2 linked regions of the Caenorhabditis elegans genome follow. The protein of the gene in region 2 interacts with the protein of the main gene of each other region in a pairwise test. Each region holds a gene or a part of one and is shown on either strand. Other genes may lie near its edges.

Region 1 (12,544 bases), on a different chromosome or scaffold from region 2:
TCCTGAAACGGACCCCTATCATGAGTTCCCGCATCTCCAGTAGACAAACCAAATATTTCCAAAAACTGACAGTTTACAGGTGAGAACGAAAAAAAAATAATAATAGTAAAGAAGTAGAACGTTGCGTGATATAGACCATTATTATGCCGCATTATTATGACGACCACCACCGAAATAGTGTCAGGCGGCGGATATCGTCTCCTCCGTGGAAAAAGGAATGTCGGATAGGGAGAAAGATGACAGTGAGAAAAAGAGAAATCACTGGCACTGTCAGAAAAAATCCGGATTTTTTCTTTATAATTTTAATTGATTATTGCTTATATTGCGGCTAGTTTCGGTTTAATGGAAAGGAAAAGATTTTCAGAATTGAATTTTATGAGAAAAAATAAAATTTCAGATAAAAATTTGAATTTTGATTTCAAACGGGTTTTTTGATTTAGTGTTTAAAGGAGCTCGAGTGAATTTATCGTTTCCTGAAAAAAATGTTTATGATGAAAGTGTACGTCCGTACATTTCCCAGCTTCCAGTAGGGCGTCAAAAAAATTCCGGGGAATTAAATTTGAATCATTAACCAGGGTTGACCAGGGGTAGAGATTGACCAAAATTCACCGGATTGAACAATTTAACTGTAAGTTTACAGTCGAGCAGTGTTCATTTATTGTGGGTGTGCTATTGTGTTACGTAAAAACAAAGCGAGCAAAATAATTATACATTTTTCAAAATTGATCAAGTGCGAAGTAACTTTAGTTAAGAAACTGTTAAGAACATCCAACGGTGCCAAAATAACCAAATATTATAATACAAATTTTTTTCAATAACTGTGATTGTCAAAAGTCAAAAAGTGACAATTACTAAGTTTAGGCCACTTCTTGTGAGAACTGTAGCACTCGAACTCTAATAATTTTCGAATGTTACTTTTTGAAACTTAAATAAAACATAAAATTTGGAAACAAACAATTTTTCCACGACTTCTAAAAAAATAGCAAAATTTTAATACCATTTTTCAAAAAATCATATAAAATTCGGAATATTTATACTATTTTTTTATATGATTTTGTTTCATTGGTATGTCTTCTACTTACAACAACGGGACATTAATTGTCTTTGTATATCACAAAGTTAGGAGAAAATGTCTGCATGCCTGCTTGGACTAGCATTGCCTTGTGCCAGCACGCATTCCTGAACCGAGCCTTTTTTGAATGAATCGACCCCCTTGATCCTACTCATCAGTTTTGTGAACGTTAGAAAATTCGCTGAACTGGATTGATAAATTTTTTGGCATGTCTCTTTCCTGTGACACTTTCTCAATAGTTTCAAAAACCTCAAACTTCCGGTTATATAATATTATCTCTTCAATTCGGGAAAGTTGTGAACTTAACGTGTGAGAATCAATGTAGCACTCAAAAGAGGATTAGCTGAATACAATTACATGCAATCCCAACTTACGGAATACACTTTTGAATATTGAGAAGTTTGGGGCGGAATAACTCCCTTGCCCAACAGTTTTCACGTTATTTGTCAACTAAATATCAACAAACAATTGTAAGTTATACAATTTCCTCACTATCCTTGTTTTCAATCGTTGAGAACTGAATATGCTGGTTCCGTCTGACTCCGGTGGCAAAAAGTGAGTAGATACCTAACAAGGGAAGTCTTTGAGGGGGTCCGTAGATTTGGGGTTCTCATGCTAAAATTCCTACAGAAGAGTGTTAGTTATGATCTCTCCAAAAAATTTAGCTGCCCCGGTCAAGTTTCAGCAAAGTTATGACGTTTTGAAATTTCGGTTAAAAACACCATTGAAATCCACTGTCTTACCATGCAGTCCACGCAAATCTCAGCTTGCGTGACCACCGAAAATGTGACACCCATCACATTGAGTTGAAAAATGTCCTCGGTGGACGAGTTAACTCCCCAATTGGGAGTGCGCGCGTCTGATAAGATTTAAGCTTTGGTTCGATTCCTTCTATTTTTGAAATATTTTTGTAAGTTGAATAAAGTTGTAAAACAACTCATTCAAACATTTTTGCGCATTTTTAAAGTGATTTTATTCTTATTCGGGAGCCTAGAATCATTGTCCGCACTTTTTGGAAATTTTTATTTTTTTCATTGTTGCTCAAAATTTCTTGATCAACTCCAAGCAAAAAATTCAAAAAATTTCATTTTTCTAAACAATTATGAAATTGCTATGTTGTTGTTCAGAAATGTATGAAACGTACATTACACAAGTTTTAACTCTCTATTCGCAAGTAAACCGTCGAAATGATCTACATCTCACGAACTTTGTGCAAAATATGTAACCAACTTTGAAGTTGCATAACTTCGTTGAGATAAATTATTTTGAAAAATGATCAACTAACGAAATGTTTGTTGAATAACAGTGAACAAAGTTTTAGTTATAAACTTTTTGATACCTCCAGCTACAAAGAAGAAAACAAGGTTGGCATTTGGCTAGTTTTTCTATTAACATTGTGTTTTGGAAAACGGTCACAACTTTTTGGTGGCTGAAGGTATCAAAAAGTTTATAACTAAAACTTTGTTCACTGTTATTCAACAAACATTTTGTTAGTTGATCATTTTTCAAAATAATTTATCTCAACGAAGTTATGCAACTTCAAAGTTGGTTACATATTTTGCACAAAGTTCGTGAGATGTAGATCATTTCGACGGTTTACTTGCGAATAGAGAGTTAAAACTTGTGTAATGTACGTTTCATACATTTCTGAACAACAACATAGCAATTTCATAATTGTTTAGAAAAATGAAATTTTTTGAATTTTTTGCTTGGTGTTGATCAAGAAATTTTGAGCAACAATGAAAAAAATAAAAATTTCCAAAAAGTGCGGACAATGATTCTAGGTTCCCGAATAAGAATAAAATCACTTTAAAAATGCGCAAAAATGTTTGAATGAGTTGTTTTACAACTTTATTCAACTTACAAAAATATTTCAAAAATAGAAGGAATCGAACCAAAGCTTAAATCTTATCAGACGCGCGCACTCCCAATTGGGGAGTTAACTCGTCCACCGAGGACATTTTTCAACTCAATGTGATGGGTGTCACATTTTCGGTGGTCACGCAAGCTGAGATTTGCGTGGACTGCATGGTAAGACAGTGGATTTCAATGGTGTTTTTAACTGAAATTTCAAAACGTCATAACTTTGCTGAAACTTGACCGGGGCAGCTAAATTTTTTGGAGAGATCATAACTAACACTCTTCTGTAGGAATTTTAACATGAGAACCCCAAATCTACGGACCCCCTCAAAGACTTCCCTTGTAAAGCAAACTTTTACACATTTATGGAGATTTCTCAATTGATATTGACATGGTTTTCAGGCGAGAAAATCACGTGGTACCATCAAATGTGGTGAAAGGGAATGAGTGTAAGCTGAAAGAAGCTCCATTGTGCACACTTATTGTGTCATTTACAGATGATGAGGTATGTTCTTTTTCCGATTTGAATTTGTAATAAAAAGCTATTCTTCACATCAAAATGCAGAAAATAGGCGATAAGCATTTACGAAGCGGTTTTTTTTTGAAAATTCTGAAACTTAAAGTTGTGGAAGCGCCAGTGGATAAATTGCTTTAGAACATGCCTATATAACTTACTATCATAGTAAAAATGTTCAGAAAAGTTTTCTAAATTTTATATGAGAAGTTTGGAAGTTAAAAAAAACATCGATTTGCATCAAATTCATATTCGAATTACTGCCAATAGTTCGGGCTTGTCTTATGTATTTAAATTATTTTCATCAAATTTTCTTATGTTTTGCCTGATTTTTAATGTTTTTTGTGAAATTTCATCGGAAATTCAGCAAGAAAAATCAAGATAAATTTAAATTACTCACCGAAAAACTAAAAAAAAACAAGGCAAGTTTTCCAACGACGTAGAGCCTGAAATAATCAACTGCACAGATCCGTTTTTTAATAAAACATTTACATTTATCCTGAATTGTTCACTAAATTTTCAGTAAAATTACACAAAAAAAACATGAAAAATCAGTCTAAAATTGTGAAAAATTAATGATTAAAAGTTTAAATAAGGCAAGCGTCGAACTCCAATTCAAAAGGGAATTTGATGCAAATTGAGATTTCTTCCTTTTGATATTTGGTAGTTATGGAACCATAGTCATGTTTTAAAACAATTTCCCCACAGGCCCTCCTCCACCTTCCTTTAATTCACTCCTATAATTCTCAAAACATTACAACGAATGTGTTCAAAAATTGTGGGGAAACAATATAAAAAAAATATTTTTTTAGTTTTAAATCTATCAGTTTTTTTCAGGCAAAAGATGTGACATCTGCTCACGTGTTTACCATGACCACTCCGCAATTGTACCCACAGACTAGAAAAACAGTCTACAAAAATGGTAATGTTATTTTTCCCATTTTTCACTAGTTTTTCGAGTTCTTTGTTGTTGCTTTTTCCGTGCAATTTGAAACGACAGTAGAGTGAAATGTTTTCAGGAAAGTTGGCAACAGTCCCTTTTCTTCCATTTTAATTTTCAGTTTTTGTTCACAAACTTCCAACCATTCCCATTTTTATCACCGCTCAATTTATTTGCTTTTGCCAGCCAATACGGCACATTCTTTAGAAAAATGTTTACTTTTTCAACAAAAAAAAATGTCAAGAGAATAGATTGTTGATAACGAAGCAGTGAGAGGGAAATGGAATTTTTTGAATGCACACTCTTAGACATATAACCATAAAAGCAAACAGTTAAGCGAAACGAAATTGGAAAACAAACTTAAAACGGAAAAAGGCATGTTAAACACTGATTGCGGATATTTTATTCACTAACCGAAATGCTGATGTACTGATGGAACATTTGGACAATGGCTGAAGTTTATCTTGTGTCACATTGCAAATTGATGTTTCAGGTGTCAGGTCTTAAACTTTCTGGAACCCGCTTAACATTTTTAGAGATTTCATTACCTGAAAATGAAAGGATTTTGAAAACGGAAGGATACTTGTTTCATTTGTTCAAATTTTCACATTCATCCCAAATTACTGACAAATACGTCATTTAAATGTGTTCTTCAGCTAATCCTCCTCTCGGCCAATTGCACAAATATATCGGAACAACAAAAGAAGACAGAATGGGGAGTGTATGTGTGTATCTTTAAAAAGAGAAAGAAAAACTGGTAGTTCAAAGAAAACTGTGTATGTACCAGAAGTAGCGACACAAATGGGACAACTGTCTATTCAAATAATATGTATCACGCTTTTTTTGGAGAGGGGCATTTTTTTTGGTGGAAAAGTGTTAATGCGCAGTTACACATCAAACGGGTGTCAAATAAATTGTATTTCTATTTTTGAAATGTAATTCATTGTAAATCATGTATCTGCGATTAAATTTTTTTGGTCAGTGCAGCTACATTTTTGAGCACTTTCTCCCCAAGTCCCAGCATTCCTAGTTTTTTTTTTGTTGCGTTTCCCCGAAAGTGAGGTTACTCCAATTTTTTTGAGTGTCAAAAACGCCGCAATAAATATTTTTTTATTGCCCGCACAAACGTTGCCCAATCATCATCAGTTTGTTCACAGTGCAATAGTGTTCGCGCATCTTTTACCAAGTGCTCGGCAAACAGTCAACCAGCAACTTTTCATATTGGATTTGAATACACAGGGGGATGGCCCCCACTTTGTGTTTGTTTGTGTCTGTTTCCTTATTTCTGATCTGAAATGTGGAGAAAATGTTGTTGGCACGTGTATAGTCCAGCATCACATTTTTTCTTGTAGTGCATTTTCAACAAAAATATTTTTCACTTAATTTTGTTTCAACACGAAAAAACAGCAATTTATTTTTTATTTTAGAAAGATATTTTTAGTTGAACTGCGTCAAAACCCTTAAATTTGCCACATTTTTGAAGTTTGCATTCCGAAATGAGCTGGCAGAACTAACTGTAAGCAGCAGAGTTTTTGTCAGTGCAATTAATTTTCTAATGAATTCAATGTGCAACTTAAGAAACCTTACAAACCTGAACATTACAAACCTGAACAAGCTATGTATTTTCTAAAGTCCTTACGTCACAGGAACACATATCAGTTACCACTCTTCTTTCACTGGAGCTACTCTTCATCTTTCTTCAATAACTCTCACTTTGTGTTTCATTTCATTAAATGCGCGTTTTCGAAACAAAAACCGTCGAAAAAAACTCCTCATCACAAACAAACAGGTCAGGCGACCACGAAGATTTACTTGAGTAGTAGGCAATTATGCCTGTCATCTAGGTGACTGGCGTTTATTCCTCTGTTTTTCTTTTCCCTACTACCATCACCTTTCCACTTCACTTTTATTGTTCTTTTTCTAGGGTCCTCATCACAAATGTCGTTAACATCCACACCATTTAGTACCGACGATGAGCGATACAGTGGGTATACCAATTCTGCGGTAAGTTTTTTTTTTTGATGTGAGACCAGTGGCTTTTGAATTATTCCAAAGTGCTGAAGTCGAAACTGTTTTACAAATTATTTAATACAGATTTAATTACTATATATTTTCTAGGTTTTTGGGCATCATTATTGGGCATTTCTTAACAGATTGAAAAAAATGTTTTTCAGTACATAGATAAAGGTTTTTTTCAAAGTTTTCTCAGTTTTTTAATTGAAAAACAACATTTATTTGGTGTTCACATTTTTTCAGCTTAGAAGCGATTAATTGTAAGTTTCGATTCATTGTCTATTTTATTTGTGAGTCTACTAGAAAATAAAAAAAAAAAAACAAAAAACTTTCACTTGATCCGATGTTGTTTTGGTTTGGTTCAAAAAGTGTGTTTCCTTTTTGTGAAGATATCTGCTTGAGTATTGGGAAAATATATACATTTTCAAATTAAATGTTGTGCGAAAATTGTTTTTACAGCTCAAGAAAACTTGAGTTTATTTTCGAAATCCTACACTGTAGTATTTTCAGATGTCACCTCCCCTCCAAAAGCAGTTAATTCAAGAAGTATCGCTTTCATATTCCGCTCCATACACATCCACAGTTAAGCCTTCAAGGCATGACCTGCCGCTTGCCTTCTCACCATATTCCCTGGACTCAGAAATAGGTAAGTCACTTTTTGTCGTGCAAATTGAAAAAGGGAAAAAGTTAACCACTCCAAATAGGTTAAACAATGAGTAATCTTGGTAACACCTCCGCAGTGGAGTTGGCCAAATATAGTCTTATTGAAAAGGGGTGGTTGTAATAAGCCAGTTTTCTTGGCAATCCAATTTTTATTTTATTTCTCATTTTCCTCAAATTCGAAACGTTTAGAGGACCTTCATTCCCACACATATTCTCAGCTGTCAAACCGTTCCAACGGGAACAAAGTTGAATCGGCAGAAAGAATTTATACAGCAAGCAGAAAAGAGACTGAGTTTCCAGGTAAATTTAACATTTAATGCGAGTTTGATGTATTGATGTACTATTCTAGCAAAAGCTGATCCGATACCATACTTTTCTGCTCAGTCGGCAATAAAAGCTGGCAGAGAAAGTCCGTCTTACACAACAAGAAGTACACCAACTCCCAGACAGACACCTATTTCGTTTGATCAGGCTTCAACTGCAAGATTGGATAGTGGTCTATCTCAGAATTTGATTGTTTCAGAAAGCACAACTTTTGAGGAATTGACAACTATTACTACATCAAAGTGAGTTCACAAAAAGAATTTGCATAAAACAGTTCGTAACAGCAAAACAGTCAAAAAGAGAGATACAAACGTATAGAGATTAAATCTCAACACCGCATTGTTTTTACGTTGTTTTGTCCCAGATTTACCCCCCCCCCCCTCCCCCCTCAATCCAAGTCACCTACGATCTGCTTTTTTACATGTTCAGTTTTTTTTTTGGAAAAAAGTTGTTTGCAGTTTAATATCATCAGTTTTCCAGCAATCGAACCACTAGAAAGAAAGAGATCAAAACCGAGATGCCAACTGTGAACGCCTTGACCAAACAATTTGAAATTTCGTCGCAGCAGGAAAAAGTCGTTCCGTTGAAACCAAGAAAAAGCTCCAATGTTGATTACAATGGAAATGGGAATTCGAGGAGCCGTGTTGTGGTTATTGATAAGTCACAGATGAAAAGTCACAGTGAGTTGGGATTTTGGCACTTAGTTTTGAATATATGCAGTATCGGAGTGTTATGTCGAGCGAAGTTTTTGTTAGTATTGATATCTGTAAACCTGAAAAATTTTCATATATACTTTTTCAAACATGGCGTTTAATCTCTCATGTCATAAATCAACGTGTGAATTCTTATGCAAACATAAAACATAAATAAAACATTGATAAATAATTGGTTTCGCCATGAAACTGCCATGAAACTTGAAAAATACAAATTTTTCCATTATCTTAGTGGAACTTTGTCGATGTATATACTTTGCGATAGATAAATAAATTTTATATACAAGATGTATAAAAACAACTGATCGGAACTCATTTACATACCGGAAAAGGTTTTTTTACGTTTTTATGTTTTATAACTTAGAATTTTGTTTCAAAATGAGAGCATACAAATAATAGACCAGCACCCATTTTTGTGAATTGCAGAAAATGGAACCTACACTCCGAATCGATCCGCCATTGTTTACTCACCAGGCGGCATATTAACAACCACTATTGTTGACATTGAACCAGCACGATTTGGAAGACGAACCGAGGAGTATAAAGTTTGTTATTCAGTTTTTTGGAATTTGCCTTTAATTTGCTTTCAGATCCAAGAAGAGTACATAGTTCAGCGATATGATAATGGAAGCTCTCCAAACTATCAGAGACAAGAGCAAGGATATCAGCAACAACAGCAGCACCGGAGCAGAGAATACAAAACGCATCGTCAGGAAAAGCAAGAAAACTACAACCAGCGAAGTTACAGTGCAACTGAAAATCGAGAAGTTGACGCTCCTGTGGATACATCTCCCATTGATGTAGTGAAAAATGTCATTGATCGCTGGGAAACTAAGATTGGAGGTTTGTACATACTGTTGTGGAAATGCTGACCGACTAACGTCGAGATTATATTTAAAAAAACTAGATAAACATCATTATCAAGACCAAATGTTGCAGGAACTACTACTCGCTTCTACGCAAGCGATCAACAACTACGTTCGGTATCACGAGTTGATATGAATGATAATGTGCCAAGATCCGCACAAGAGGTAGAGGAAGCATTTATCGTTTCTTCCCATTTTTTGAGTATGACTCAAACGGGCAGAGAACATTGCACAACTCGCTATTTTTGAAACGACTAAAATTATGTTTATAGAGATTGAGAATCGTAGATTTGATAAAAGACTATTGAGGACAGTGTTAAGCAGAGCTTTAAAAGGCTGGAAGTGGTATGATTTTAAGCCGTTGAACTTAAGTAGATCAAACATTTAAGATTGTGAAGGATGGCAATGACATCCTTCAATCATTATTTTTCCAGAAAATAATTGTTCACCAAAGAAGTGAATCCCAACCGACCGAGCGTGTCATCCCAATTTCCCCTTTACCACATCGAGTTGAGCCTACAAGGACTACACAATCTGGAGGACTGCTTCAAACATATGAAGAACTGAAGACAGTGGTTGTCAAACAATCTTCTGACCAAACCCCCCAGAAAATCGTCCCAAGAGCCCAAAGCCCAGTAACGTCTCCTGTCTTCAAAGAGACGATTTTGTCTCCGCCACCAATTCCAACTCCTTCTCCAACTTCTGATATCGCTGAAGAGGTTCTGAGAACTGATGAAACAACACAGCACACCGCTATCACTATGCATTCCATTGTGACAAAAGAAGTCAAACAGGAGGCCAAGGAGAAAATTAATAGCGTCACTGATAACGCTGAAATGAAGGAGAAGGTTGTGGAAATTGCGAAAAATGTCGAATATGAGTGGGAAAAGAAACCGCTGACACCAACTCCTACTCCGATTCCTCCTCAGCAACAAGAAGTAAAACAGGAGGAATTGAAAGTTGAGAATAAAATTGAAAACGATCAAAATGAAGTTCATTTGCATAAGTTTTTGGATAGAGACTATCGAATTAAAACCTATGAGGAGTACTCTACGACCAAGAGGCTGAGAGACAGATCACAACCGCCTGAGAGAGTCAGTTTGTAGCTATTGAAATGAGTTCCTGGAATAATACCATTTTCAGCCACCAACTTCGTATTCGTCATACTCTGATCGATCTCGATCAATCGATAGAACATATGAAAGAAGAGTTCTGGGAAGTGGAATGTCGAGGACTTATTCGGAAGGTAACCTGAACTTTGCGGGACTAAGCTTCAAATTTGAAAGTAGTTACAATATGCTTACTGTACCACTATCACAGTTTTTGGAACATCAAAACCAAACATTTGGAACAGTTCATTTTATACACTACTTTCTTTGTACTTAGGAAAAACTGTCGCTGATCTTGACACTTTTTTGAACTTTTTCTGGCTTGTGATAGAACAACAAAAAATGAAATTTTTTAAACTGTTAATACTTCTTAGTCTAGTCACGGATAGTTTCTTTACACTTTCGACGTTCTTTTCTCCAATTTTAACAGCATAATCTTTTTTCTTTTTTTTGACATTTTCAACTCTAAATGAAACAGCTTGGAATTTTGATATGATGACAGTGAGAAACGGAGAAACACAGCGACCAGCGCCAAACTGATTACAGTTGGCATTATGTTGAAGGCATAGGTGGAGTCGCAAGGGTTGCCTATAAAACATTGTCTAATCAGTGCCATTTTCTCATTTTTTATCATTATTAACTTCTAAAATCGACAAAAAAAAACCAAAAAATGTCGACTTACGCGGCCTATACTACTTCTACTTATCAAGGTCGTGGACTTGCCAGTGGAACATATGCTTCTGGCTTTGGCCAGCTTGTCAGTGGAATGTCATCTGCTGGAGCCATCTGCACAACCCAAATCCGTGACGCGCGTGAACGTGAGAAGAGAGAAATTGGTCTCTTGAACGATCGTCTCGCGGATTACATTGAGAAGGTACGTGACTACAAGTATTTTGAGCCCAAATTTTAGGCCCCGCCTTGAAATTGGGGCCTCAACCAACATCATCTGCCGACATCTCACAAGTTCTGCGCCTCACTATATTCAACGTAACGCTCTTAGCAAGGAAAGCCGATGATCGGCTGGTGCGCTGTCACGTTGAAAAAAGTGGAGTTCAAAACCCGTGAGATGTCTTCGGCTGATGTTGTTTTGAGTGTACATGTGTTCTAAAAGTTTCAATTGCAGGTTCGTTTTCTGGAAGCTCAAAACCGATGCCTCAGCCACGATATTGATATTCTTCGCAACGGATTCAGCGGTGGAGGTCATGTATCTGGACTCTTTGACGCTGAGATCAACGTGAGTTTACTTCATTTTTTCTCTCTCTCTTCAAGCACACTTGATAAGAAGTCGCGATGGAAAACTGATAATGGTTTTTTTTTCAGCAAGCAAAGCATATTCTTGAGCAAACAACCGCTCACCGCTCCACATTTGAAAGAGACATCACTGGTCTCTCCGCGGAGATTGAAGTGTTCAGAAAGAAATGGCTGGACGCTGTCAACGCCGTCAAAGCTCATCGTGAGGACCATGATGTGGATTTGGACAGACTTGCCAAGATTGAAGCTGAAATTTCACTTTTCAAAAGAAAGATCCGTATTGTTGAGGAAGACGTCATCAGAATTCGCAGAGAAAATGACGGAATTTACAATGAAATCGCCAGAATCAAGCAGCTTACCCATAACGAAATTGCTCTGAAGAATGAGCGCAGCTTGAATGTCTCCGATCTTCTTCAGCGCATCAACCTCCTACAAACGGAGAACAACGTCAGAATCGAGCAAGAACTTGTCTTCATCCGCCGTGACACCACTGCCGACAACCGTGATTACTTCAGACATGAGCTTCAAGCCGCCATTCGTGACATCCGTGCCGATTATGAAGCCGTAAGACATTAAAATAGTAAGATATAACAATTCACATGATATTTTTTTTAGATCAGCATCCGCAACCGTCAAGACATTGAAGTGTGGTACCGTGAGCAAATCAGAAAGATTCAGGACGAATCAGTTCGCGTCAACCCAGACCTCTACAAGGAAGAACTCATCTCCATCCGCACGACCGTGACAAATGTCCGAAGCAGACTTGCCGAGGTTGAAGGAAGAGTGAGTTTTTCTAGGCCTTCCGACGGTTGTGAATATTTATGAATTCAGAACTTCTTCCTTGAGCGGCTCATTGATGACCTAAAGAACAACGAGGAAGCCAAGTTCTTCGAGATCAGCCTTGCCGAGAGAGACGCCCAGATTGCGACCCTCCGTGACCAGTGCACAGAGCTCAGCATTCAAATGGAGAAACTCTGTGACAACGAAATTGTGAGTTCTTTTAGATATTTGGCCTTCACTATCTAGCTTAATTTTCAGTCCCTCCGCGCCGAAATCGAGCGCTATCGCATCCTCCTCAACGGAGCAAACGTGACAACGTACACCTCCAATACGCACGGAAGCGGCTCTGGAATCGCAGTCGGTGGTGTTGTTGGAGGATCAACCCGCGTTATATCTCAAACCACGAGAACCCACAGCAGCAGCAATACGAGCTACTCAA
Region 2 (12,544 bases):
TTCGATGAACAATTATTAAATGCTCAATTAAATGATGATGATCATGAAAAAACTCATTTTTGGTATATGGATCAAGTGAAGAATGGGCTCTCAATATCTACAATTAGTCGTCAATTAGAGGTTAGTTGGTGAGAGAGATTCAGGAAAATGTTAATCTGATTAAAATTTAGAATGAAGATTTTCGAGATATTATACGTCTTCTTGATTTGTTCTTTCATTCGACATTTCATCAATTGACGCATAAAGAGGAAATATTTGCAGTTTTACAGAATTGGGATCAAACTGAAAAGGTTAGAAATTTTGGAATTGTTGAGCAGATGTACCCGAAAAAATGATTATTTGATAATATACATTCAATGTGAAGAATTGTTAGTGTAGATTTTGTATAAACAAAAAAATAAAATTCGAGTTTAGTGACTTGCATGAAGATATAATTGACAGTTTAGTGAAAATAACGAAATACGTATTCCACTTATCGCGAACTTGAAACAGTAGATTTTAGAACGCAGTTTTTCAAAATAACATGATTTCAAATTATCAGTTTTGCTCTATTACTCCAAATTCCATTTTTTCAGGATTGGTCTCCAACGTTTTGGTTTTTATTAAAATGTATCCGTGAAATGCCTATTCCTCTTCATTTGGCACTATCACGTCTTATTTCCAAATGGTTCCTACGTTCTGAAGTGGAAATCGCGTCACGCATCAAACACATTTTATCATCACCGGTTACTTCAAACGAGTAAATTCAATAAAAGTTTTTTTCGAGAAATAAAAAAAAATGAAATCATTAAAAAAAAAAAAATGAAATCACTTTGGCGGGAAGTCTTTGCATCATAAAGAAACAAAGAAACGGGGAAGGCAAGTAGAAATAGAGGGGAAACGATTTGGATGAATACTGTTTACATGCGATAAATCGTTGGGAATACGGAGAGAATGAGAAGTACAAGTTGAACTGAACATGGAAAAGTTGCACTTTAATTGAGACAGAAAGCAGAAACAGTGATGGTTCACAACCGAAAATGACTGGTATTCAGGAAAAAGAAGAAGAATGACATGAAATGGAACAAAAATCATGACCGGAATGCGTTGGCAGAAGGAATTGGAGCTCGGCGATTTGATGGCTCCAGAAGACGTTCAGTCATGTCTTTCTGAAAAAAAAACAAGTGCTTTTATTTGAAAAAAAAATCACAGATTAATTTTTTTTTGAAGAACATCAAGTTATTTTCCTCAAAATTGAGGACAAACTTCTTTTATTTTTTAAACATTTTTTGTTGGGTCCTTCTTTTTTTTTTGAGAAATCAAAAAAAAATCTTCGCTCTTGGATTTTGCAATCGAAAAAGCGACGCCCTTGCTCCAATAGTGTTTTTTAAATTTACTATTTTTAAACTTGCTCTTTTCTTAAAAAATAAAAAAAAATCCTCCTAGGCGTGAAAAGTGGGAGGGGAAAAAAATTGAAAATTTGCGTTTCGTGAGACAGTTTAAATAATTATTTGAACATATCTTTTTTTGTTTTTGGTAAAACTTTTCTCTTTTTTTTTCAAAGTGTGCTCCAAATTTGCATAACTTACCAATGCCTCCAATTCTTTAGTGGACACCATTCCATATTCAGTCACAAAAAAGTAAAAATGTTTATAAAGGGTATTGGCGTGTGGTTCAGCACCCAATTCTCGAATCCGATCGAAATGATGAATGTAGACGTGCACGAAGACACGGAACAAGCGAGTGAGAATCTTTTTGCAAATTTGACGGAAATCTTTTGGAAATGATACATCTGAAATAATCAATAAAATTAACTATATATATCGTACAAAATCAAATCTTACTTGTGCTTGATGGGAAGATGTGCTCATCATTAATGCGAACTTCAATCCAATCCATTAGCAGCTGAAACAACGGTGTATCAGTTTACCGAAATCACACAATTGTGAGAAGGGTGCAAATAGAAAGAGAGGGGTATTAGGTTACAGAAAACGCAAAAACAAACCTGCATGTACTGCGGAGCAGGGAGTCTTGTCGGTTTTTTATACTCAATACCATCCTGCCACAAATATTCATAACGGGATCCTCCACACATAGTTGGGCAAGATTCACGAGTGCATACATCAGAAATCGTTCCATACATCAAATTAATTCGATTGAAAAAGTCAACAGCTGAACGAAAATTCAGTTTTAAATTTAAACTGGACCATTTTTGTTGAAACTTACTATGTACAGCCAGCCAATCATCAAAGTTCTCACTTGGTGGCAGTTTGACAGCATGACGAAGATCTACACCCGAATGAAGAGTTGCTTCTGCTTGTTTGTGAAGACTGTAGCGGAGTGTACCTTGTGGAAACTTCTTTTTCGGACGGAATGTCTACAAACAAAATACTTTTCGTTCAATTTCAGAAAATGGTAATTTACGCAGCTTGGTCCCAAATGCCAAGATATCACAAAAAATTAAAAGAAAACACTCATTAAGTTTGAAAAAGAAAACTACTAATTTCGGTAAATTTTCAATTTTCTAATGTTCCTAATTTGAATTACAGCGCATTTGTCTTTAAACCACGCACATTTTTCAGTGCCGGACTTTGGTTTTTATCAATTTCGATGCAAAATAATGTTTTTTTTCTTATTTTTAATAAAGAAAAAAAGCCAACAAAAATATTTATCTCAAATCAAAAATTTGTTTTTGATTACCTTATGCTTGTTGACCTGCAGAAAATCGAGAAAACTGGCCATAACTGCAAACAATGGTTGTGGATCCTTTCGTTTTTCGTCTCCACCGGAAGAGACGATGGCGCCCGAAGGCGGTGAAGTTCGGCGTGGAGTTGACGGCAAAATTCCCGATCTGCAAGAGAAGGAAGGTTTAATGAGTCGTAAAACTGGGTTAGTGGTGAACTAAATGAAAGCAAGCGAAGTTCATTGGCTCACTTTTTCAAACGAATAAAGAACATCATCATGGTAGTTTTTCATAGAAATTGTGGCCGAAAAGTTGCGAAACGCGTAAGGAATTTTAAATTTTCTGATGAAATCGCATTGTCTCGTGAATTCTATTTTTGAATTCACCGCTTCCCGTTCGGTTTCCGCATAGAAACACACAAATTTAACGAATTTATGAGATTTCGGAGATTTACCTGGATTTCCAGATCGGATCAGTAATGAAGTCGGGATGAAGAATGAAAGGATTTTTAGACTGGTGGTTGGTGGGAAATTAGCGAATTTTAATGATGGATAGGCTGTGGCGCGGCACTCTCTCACGCAGTTGGCCCCGAAGAAACAGAAAGAGAAGAGACATACACACAATGAACATCATGCGTTGGGGACGAAGCAAAACGAGAGAGTATTGGGATAGGGGGATACGCAGAGAAGAATAGGTAGCAGTTGAAATGGATGGAGAGATGATAGAGCAATATAGAATGTAGATACGCAGACAGTGTGAGTTGCGGGAGGGCATGGATTGTGTGTGTGTGTGTGTGTGGCAACGAGGATTTGATAATGAGCAGTCATGAGAAGGACCAAGAGAGATGAGTGCAAATTGGGTGAGAATCTATGATTCCGGAAGTTGTCGTAAAGCAAGCATTTTGAATTTTATTTCAAATATGCAATGCCTACAGTAACCCTAGTAGGTCTAGAAGGTTCACCACCGTGGAGTACAAAAATCTCGATTTTCATTTTTAGACTTTAATAGCACAAAACAACCGAAATTCGTAATGAGAAATTTTGAAAATTTCTCAAAAAATAATTCTGGCGGGTCAAAATTTTCGATTTTAGCTGAAAATATAAATACCCTTTTCAAAACTTTGATCCGCCGTAACAATTTTTTGAGAAATTTTCAATACGTCTCATCACAAAATTCTCCACTTTCAATCGTCCATAATCTACAAAACATCATTTTTCAAAACTTAAATATGCAATAACGGTTAAAACCAGAATTTTCGATAGAACTACGAAGTTGTATATTATATAATTTTTGGAGAACCATCGGAGTTTTCCAATCTCCAAACATAAAATCTCTATTTGAATTGGGAACTTTTGATGACTCAATAGTAGTGGGCAAAACTTTTGTGGACTTTACAACTTCAACGGCATAGTTTTACTTTTCCAATACAAAACAGGAAAATAAGAACAACACACATTTAATGGTAGCCGGAAGAGAAATGAGGAAATTATGAGGGTACTTTGGCGTGGGCTTTCTAGCTTCAGTTTCTCATTCCAAAAGAGTAGACATTTCTGATGTATTTCATTGAAATAGGTTTTGCATGACCAACTGTTTTTTCAATGTCCTCGAACGATTTCCCAGGTTGAATGACATTTGAAGGTGACAATTGACAATGGCCGACACATTTTATTTGCATCTCATTATCACATCATTCTGTGAACCTACAGTACCCTTTAGACTGTCAGTCTTCTTTTAGAAATTGCACTCTTTCAAAAGATAAATTCGACGTTTTTAAGTCTCTTTTGGAAATAATGATCGACATAGAAGCCAGACATTTGACGAAAGCTGGCCAAAATCATGGACTAAGAACTTTTGATTACGGACAAATCTGTTGAAACTAGAAAATGAAAATATTTTAATGTTTTTGGAAATAAAATTGAATAATACGTTCAGAAATTGTAGTAAAAGAAGAACGAATAAGTTGACAGAACTTCACAGTGATGATTTTGACTGACAGCCGGCCTGTGTCAATGTCAAAAATCTCTACGGATTCCGGATTGAAAAATCAGCGTTTTCTACTAAAACCGAACAAGAAAGAGGAACGTTCAACGAAATTTAATGGATGTTTGCCTTCGAATCATTGCATCGCATTCAGAATGCCAAATGAGTCGAATATGAATAATCGGTAGTGAAAAACTTGGAACAAACCTTTGTTTTGTAGGTGTGTCGCCACGTTGAAGTGCCTCCGGAAGACCATAGCAGTTGAGAAGAGACATGGAGAAAGGGAAGCGTTCTGAAATGAGAAGAAAATTATTGTTGGATGAAAAAATATGTTTTCAAATAAATTAAGGACACGTGGACCGGCGTGTGTAATCAATTTTAAATCATTTTCAAAAGAATTTCTTTCTAATCTGTAAATTTAGAACCCTTTCTGCGTTTTCGGTAATCCAGGTTTTCTGGTTATCTCGAAAAACCGGCAAAATATGGGAGAAAAGATTTATATTCAAAAAATTTCAATATTTCACATAAACTAAAAATTTAAGTTTTTTAGATTTTTTTTCAGGATTTCATTATAGAGGTTTCTCAAAACAAAAGAATAAAAATCTGAATATATTGGAAATGTTCGACATGAAACGTTTCGCAGTTTTAAAATTGAAGTGAGTAAATTCAGGTTGAAAGTCAAACATATTTCTGAAAAATAATGAAAATAAAACTTTTTTACGTCCGTTTGAACTGAACTAATGGGGTTATTCAAGTAGTGTCGTGAAATTGAAAAGTGTATTTCAATACACTTTTTGCCTTATTCAAGTAACATCAAAAACATGTATTTCAATACAGTTTGTGACGTAATTTCGCGACATTTCTCGACATTTCTCGACATTTTTCCACAGTGGATTTATCAGAATTGTTCTCCTTCGACGGCAAATTGTATGGATTTTCACCCGCGGGGACACCTTTCTCTGTGTTTTTCATTCAGTTGTCCGCTTTCTGGTTGTCGCATAATGTCGAGAAATGTCGAGAAATGTCGCGAAATTACGTCACAAACTGTATTGAAATATATGTTTTTGATGTTACTTGAATAAGGCAAAAAGTGTATTGAAATACACTTTTCAATTTCACGACACTACTTGAATAACCCCATAAATTAAAAAAAATAAAAACTCCAATTTTCCAGGAGAAAAAAAAAAAAATAAAAACTAACAGGAAAAATGTTTTTTACCAAACAAATAAATCGTCGTAAGATTTGGTGTATTTTGTGCACTTAGCCTACCGTAACCCACGGTAAAATGCAGAATTGTGGTTCAAATCATTTTAATTTTCCCACGATATATTTTCCCACGCTGTATGTTCTTCTCGGCTATTTTTTGCTGTTTTATTTGATTTTTCATAATTTTAAAATATTATAATTCTTATTTCTTGAATTTGTAGTAGATGATGCAAAAGAGGGGTCGCTTTAAAAGCAGATTAAATTCTTCCATGTCTTATGTGCTCATTTTCCGTTCGATTGCCCATTTGAAAACGAAAAAATCTGCCGCTTCTCTGGTCTTATTCGTCGTGGATCGTTGTCGAGCAGCTCTTCTCCGTCGTCGCGCGTCTCGGCTTTTCCATCGTTTTTTCTGCGCCCTCTAGTTCTCTCGCTCCCTTTATTTTGCTCGCACTTGGCTTCATGCCAGCTGGTCCCCTCTGCTTTTTGCATACTATCTAATTCAGACCCCAGTCGCTTGCATTGGGAAAGGCCACCTCATTGAGCTCTGTCCACAACGAGTTTGGACCCAGACTGGCATAAAACCATATGCCTATGAAATTGTGTAAAATGTTTCTTCTTTCTAAAATCAGTTCGCAATTATTTCGTTCCTTGTTCCTTCCCGTTCGAATTTTGAATCTATTCTCTCTCTCTCTCTCTCAAGTTCCTTCATTTCCCGCCAAGTGTTTCTCTTCATTGCGACTTTCGACCAGCTGTTCGAGCAGCTCCTGTATCATTTTTTGCTACGAATTTCTTCACCAACTGCACGTAAACTGCTACTTTAGTTATTTGTTATATTTTTGTTGTGTTTAAAACTGAAGAGGTCACCGGAGCGAACATTTTCTAGAAAATTCTATTGTCGCACAGACAACAATATAATGTCTAGAAAGAATGCGATTCTATTCTGAGAGGCTGGTCCATCATAAAGTGACGAAAATGATTATGTGCGAGGGTGTGTTTTGTTCGTCTCTTCATCCAATCTTCTTCTCTCGAACCTCTTCCGTTTCTTTCAGCTCGAAAATCGCAAGAAATAGTCTATAAATAATCCAGCGAATCACTGAAAGACTGATGTTTTGTCTCTTTTTGATGTATAAAAGTGCTTGTTTCTATCAGTCTTTCGAAAGATTTTGTTGAAATATTGTATTCTTATTCTGTGTAGGTTACTGTGTGTCACTTTTGGCGAACAAAGAAAGTTCAACCGGGAAGAAATATTACCGTAGCATGTTCTCTCCGTTTTCTCTCACTTGCTTTTGCACTTTTGGTCTCCTCTTTATTGCATCATTCCGGGCCCCTTTGCAAATGTGTTTGATATTCTATCGACCAAAAAGTTTGATTCATAAGTTGAAGGCTAAAGTTTTTATTCTTTTTGTATTATTAGAATGCTCTTATCGAATACAATTAAATCCCACTACACTAAAGAGGTAACCTCATTAATCTAGACAAAAATTACTTCCTTTCGGAATTATCGCATTCCAAAGTTTAGATTCATTAAATATTTCTTTATTTTGTAATTTTCTCTCTTGTGGCACCTTGTTTTGGCTCACATGGCATTCGGCGAAAGCAAAACATGAATGTCTGTTTTCAAAGTTATGCATTCACCCCCATCCTCCAACTTTTCTATGAAAAAGATTTGGTCTATGATCTTTCCAGCCATGAGCTCGTCGCATTCTATTGAGTTTTGAGAAGAGAAGAAGCTCTAGAATTGTGTGCTCGTTGTTCGACTCTTTCAGGATAAATTTCATAAGTAGAGAGACTTTTCATCTTACACTGTTAGCTACGGTGACGTCATGAGAGCAACAATATACGCTCTTTGTGCGCGGGCCGAATGATTGCGAAAGAGAAAGAGCGTCTGCATTGGACGTGTGACCTTCAATGTACCCTTAAGACTCCGCCTTATTTTGAATCATAACATTTTTGTCTGCTAGACGACCCTTGGCATTCGTCCAATTTTTTTCGAAACTTTGAGTAGGAATTAGATTTGCAAAAAAAAGTGAAAACGAGCCAGTAGATCCTCCTCGTATCTTCATTCTTCTTTCGTTTCAAATTGATTGCTCCTTTTCGTTGTCTCTTCTGTGCATTTTCCGTGAACTTCACCAATAGGTCATAGGGATCTGCTTCTCGCTAGTGGGATATCCTGCGTCTCATCTACTCTGACATTAGATGATGGGCGACGAAAGAAGCACCGTTTACACCCAACCCATCACGTCAGAGTACGGCCGACTTCCCTCCTTCCCATGCAATATCACCTATGAAATCGATTAGAAAGTCCCTCGCTTTATATTTCAATTCGATTTAAAATAGAAGACGAAACATCTAACTTGGCTCACTTCCTCCCTTTTTTTCGTTTTTCTTCTTTAGATAATCCCTATCCTCAGGCGCTTCAACTTCTTGTTTCGCGATCTTTCCTCTCCGGATGCGTTTTTTAGGCTGATTCTGCAACAAGAGTTTAACAATCGGATTGTCAAATTTGCTCTTTTTCTTTTTATTGCGCACTCCCTGCCCCTGCCTTTGACAACCTTTCCAATCTGCGACTGTTAATAAATCTAGGGTCGCAGCACATCGAGCAAACAAAGAACAATTTTTTAAAAGAAGTTGAAATATTGCTGAATAGATGGACCTCATTTTTGTTCATTTTCTCTATCTAATAGTGATGCTCTTACACATGACAATAATAACCAACGTTTTTCGCAATAATTTTTTTGTTTTTGTTGACTCAGTGAACATTTGTGAAATCTGGCTGTTGAAAAATCACGAGTAAACTATTTTCGTCAACGATTCAGATTTTTGAATCTACAAAATATCTGATGTCACTGAAAAAGCCTTTAAAAAAATAAAATTTACGTATTCTAGTGCATTCGAGTTTACTGCCATCATTCGCCCAATATCCTTAACCAATCCATCAGTTCAAACTCATTATTTCCCGTTTTTCAGCCCATATAAATGGGAATTCGGTGTCCTCAGCAAGAAAATAGGCCGACAAGATTATATTTAAAATTATATAGAGTTCGCCCAGCAAAGACCATAACGTCACTCTCTAAAGAACAATCAAAAAGATATCTTTCTTGCAAGACACCGTTTTTCTCACCTCTTCTCTTTCTTCGTTTTTTTTTGTTAACACTTTTCTCATGTGGCGACATAAATCTTCCAATGTAGGCGAGACCGGACGCCGGAGACTTTGTCGCTGACAAACCTTTTTGATAATGTTATACGTGGGAGTTCAAATAAAACTCTTCTTATTTCCTTGTTGCTCCTCCTATTTCTACCTCATTCCGTTTGTCACAACTTTTCCGTATTCTTTTATCTGATCAAAATGGTTTTTTTTTCAGGGGTAATTATCGTCTCGGATCGTGAACTGTGCGGCGAGTCATCTCACGTCTTGTTACCGTTTTCGCCTAAACCACAGGCGAAGGGCCCTGCTGAGCCACCGCAACTCCACATCCCAACCCGTCAACTCACTCTTCCTTTCGAATTCTACAATCATCTTCTGGTATGATTTTGTTTTTAGCGAAAAGTCTAATTCTGATGAAAATGCGTGGGTTTTGCGGGGAATCCCTAATGTTTCCATTTTGAAAATAATATTTCCCGTTTTTTGAAACTCGATATTTTGCCGCTATCCATTGCTCGATGTTCTTTAAACCAAGGAAAAAAAAGAATTTGACGACTCACTGAGGAATCTGGTGTTAATAAATTCCCCTTGAAAACTTCTTCCGTCTTTTCATAAAATGAGGTTTTCACTTCTAGTTTAACCTAAGTTAGCGGCAAAGTTCGATCAGATTAGTTTGTTTGATTTTAGATTCACTATTGTTAGCTAATAGAATTAAAATTAAATGATGATAGCTTATTTTTGTAACTGAATTTTGTGCTCGTCTGAACCTCGTGCCAAAAAGTTTATGATACTTATGAAAAAAGAACAATTTTTAATTACCATTTACGTCAAAGAGCTACGCCGGAAAGACAAAAAAAAAATAAATGACGCCGAATTGTCACAAGGATAGTGAGAAACGAGTGGTAATAGACCAAGAGATAACAAATTGTTTATTTCTCTTTAAAATTGGACTGTTATCAGAGACCATCAGCTGCTGTCGGCAAAGAAAAATTTCTGCTGATAGCTGGCTCCTTTGTGTTTCCCTCATTTCTACCGCCTGACGCTTAACCTGAATCGCTTCCAAAAATGTTTCTTTTTTTTTAGAACAGACTCAACAATGCTTCCCGATCCAACTGTTCTTCTCATCATCGGAGCCGTTATAGCATTCATTTTGGCGTTTGCTATCGGTGCAAATGACACGGCAAACTCGTTCGGAACTTCTGTTGGAAGCAAGGTTGGAATCTTTATTCACATTGAAAATTCTAGTTTTTTGAAATTTCAGGTGTTGACTCTTCATCAAGCATATGTTTTGGCTAGTATCTTCGAAACACTTGGAGCTTGTCTCCTTGGTAAGTAACACAGATCATCGTCGTAAGTATCTGCATCGTGGGGTGTCGGTTTTGTTCGATTTATCATTAAAATCGAAAAACTAAAAATTTTCGTTTTCCCAATATTTCAAAAAACAAATTTTGGGTATTTTTATTCTTTTTTGAAGAAATTTATATGTTTTATGGTTTTCTTCAACATAAGCATAATTTATAAAATTGAATTGTATCTTTGATTTTTTTTTAAATTCATTTGAAACTCACAAAATTCTAATATTTTTAGGTCATCAAGTGACAGACACTATGCGCAAAGGTGTGATCGACTTCTCAGAGTTTGGTAAACATGAAAATGGTACCGTTCTTATGAGCGAAAATGATCTCGGCCATACTATCATGTTGGGACAAATCGCTATCCTCACTGGATGCGGTGTGTGGATGTTGTTGGCGACTGCATTCAAGCTGCCCGTATCTACAACTCACTCAATTGTTGGAGCCACGATTGGATTTGCTCTCGTTGCCCAAGGATCTCGTGTCATTGTGTGGGAGAAGATTTACCGTATCTGTGAGTTCTTTACTCGATTATATTGGTTCTTGTCTGAAACGTGTGCTTGTATCGCTATTGGAAATTATTTTTGCAGTCTTCTCATGGATCATTTCACCACTTCTCTCTGGAATCGTTTCGGTTTTCATCTACTTGTCGCTTGATCATTTGGTTTTGAGACGTGTAAGTTTTCCCACGAAATTACTTTTGTTACAATAACTATGCAAATGTAAATATTTTCAGGAACAACCTCTTCACAGTGGAATTCGAGTTCTTCCTGCGCTCTACTTCATCTGTTTCGCTTTCAACGTCTTCGCCATTGTCTATAAAGGACCTTCTTGTAATTATTTTAATGCAATGACGTTTTTTCAAATAATTAATTTTTAGTCCTCTATTTCGATCGACTCAGTCTCACACAATGTCTCATCATCTCTGGAGTGTTCGGATTAGCGGTTGCTCTTATCTTTGCGTTCTTCTTGGCACCGTATCTCAAGGATCACATCCTGAGTATGTTTAAGAAATGGAGTATGAGGTTAGCAATTGTCGATAAGGCACTGAAGATAGTTTCCAGTGGCCTTATCGTTGCAGTATCATTGATTAATATTCTAAGATTTTATATGAGTTTTCAGGTGGTAAAATTATTAGAAAATTCTGCTGTCGATAAATTATTTTCATTTCAGGCAAAGAACTTCTTGAAATAACTGGAAAACAGCGACACAGTCATCACGGACATAACGAAAAGAGCAGTTCAAAGCGAAAAGAATTTGAAATGGAAGAAGGAAATGGAAAATATCTTGAATCCGACAATAACGGTCAACCTCTTCTCGATCAACCAACTATTGTAGTCAGTACATGCCCATCAAATGGAGAATCAACTTCATCTTTCGCAAAGAATACAATTCGCCCGTCTTCCTCCCTTGCTTCATTCTTCCGTTCCTGTAAACCAGAAGATCCACAAGCTTCACGACTGTTTTCACTTCTTCAAGTGATGACGGCCTGCTTCGGAGGATTTGCTCATGGAGGAAACGACGTGAGTAATGCGATTGCTCCACTTGTTTCGCTTTATCTGATTGCTAATGACGGAATGAAATCGGCCGATATGGAAACACCATGGTACCTTCTTCTCTACGGATCCTTCGGAATGTGTCTCGGTCTCTGGGTTCTCGGACATCGTGTCATCTACACTGTCGGAGAAAATCTAACCAAGATCACTCCAGCATCTGGATTCGCCGTCGAGTTTGGAGCTGCTGTCACTGTTCTGATTGCTTCAAAGCTCGGACTTCCTATCTCATCAACACAATGCAAAGTAAGAAATTCATAGAATGACATATGCAATCATCGGTTTACAGGTTGGATCCGTCGTGGCAGTCGGTCTTGTTCAATCCAGACATCAAGTCCATTGGGGAGTATTCCGGAACATCTCACTATCCTGGATAGTAACTCTTCCAGTTGCCGGTAAGTGTATTTTAGTAATTAGTTCAGATGTTAGAAACTTCAGAGAGACTAAAACGCTTATTAATAAATAATAAAGTGAGGAACCACATCCCCAAGATATAGTTTCGATAAGTAAATACTGTTTCAAAAATATAGCTGAAAGAAGTATTAACAGAATGTCAGTTTTTTAAATTTATTTTTCATTGAAATTTATTTCATTATCCAACGACAAGTGAAACCACCATTTTCTAATTGGAGAAAAGTCTTTCTGTTA

Evidence for each region.
Region 1: the proteins of mob-3 (region 2) and ifc-2 interact in a two-hybrid assay, tested with the Caenorhabditis elegans proteins (one large-scale study listed by BioGRID).

What each region holds. Positions count from the first base shown.
Region 1 is NC_003284.9:643,873-656,416, reverse strand, and holds the start of ifc-2 (Intermediate filament protein ifc-2), read left to right. Parts: upstream 1-1,595; coding exon 1,596-1,627; intron 1,628-3,334; coding exon 3,335-3,437; intron 3,438-4,283; coding exon 4,284-4,368; intron 4,369-5,509; exon of another isoform or gene 5,510-5,651; intron 5,652-6,309; exon of another isoform or gene 6,310-6,310; coding exon 6,311-6,390; intron 6,391-6,909; coding exon 6,910-7,045; intron 7,046-7,251; coding exon 7,252-7,362; intron 7,363-7,411; coding exon 7,412-7,628; intron 7,629-7,866; coding exon 7,867-8,066; intron 8,067-8,525; coding exon 8,526-8,644; intron 8,645-8,689; coding exon 8,690-8,942; intron 8,943-9,038; coding exon 9,039-9,130; intron 9,131-9,399; coding exon 9,400-10,059; intron 10,060-10,108; coding exon 10,109-10,211; coding exon of another isoform or gene 10,212-10,351; intron 10,352-10,692; exon of another isoform or gene 10,693-10,744; coding exon of another isoform or gene 10,745-10,784; coding exon 10,785-10,948; intron 10,949-11,197; coding exon 11,198-11,308; intron 11,309-11,394; coding exon 11,395-11,889; intron 11,890-11,940; coding exon 11,941-12,108; and 4 more. Other genes in the region: lpr-7 (Lipocalin domain-containing protein), read right to left, coding at 1-152. UniProt on the Caenorhabditis elegans protein: Cytoplasmic intermediate filaments provide mechanical strength to cells. Not essential protein, although its absence leads to mild defects in locomotion.
Region 2 is NC_003282.8:7,384,010-7,396,553, forward strand, and holds mob-3 (MOB kinase activator-like 3), read right to left. Parts: upstream 4,935-12,544; 5' UTR 4,918-4,934; coding exon 4,850-4,917; intron 3,260-4,849; exon of another isoform or gene 3,117-3,259; intron 2,831-3,116; coding exon 2,680-2,830; intron 2,357-2,679; coding exon 2,206-2,356; intron 2,152-2,205; coding exon 1,985-2,151; intron 1,885-1,984; coding exon 1,824-1,884; intron 1,772-1,823; coding exon 1,569-1,771; intron 1,149-1,568; coding exon 1,071-1,148; 3' UTR 747-1,070; downstream 1-746. Other genes in the region: ptp-8 (TYR_PHOSPHATASE_2 domain-containing protein), read left to right, coding at 1-120, 171-290, 576-743; pitr-1 (Phosphate transporter), read left to right, coding at 10,088-10,204, 10,253-10,319, 10,579-10,857, 10,934-11,019, 11,080-11,176, 11,224-11,343, 11,517-12,142, 12,186-12,291.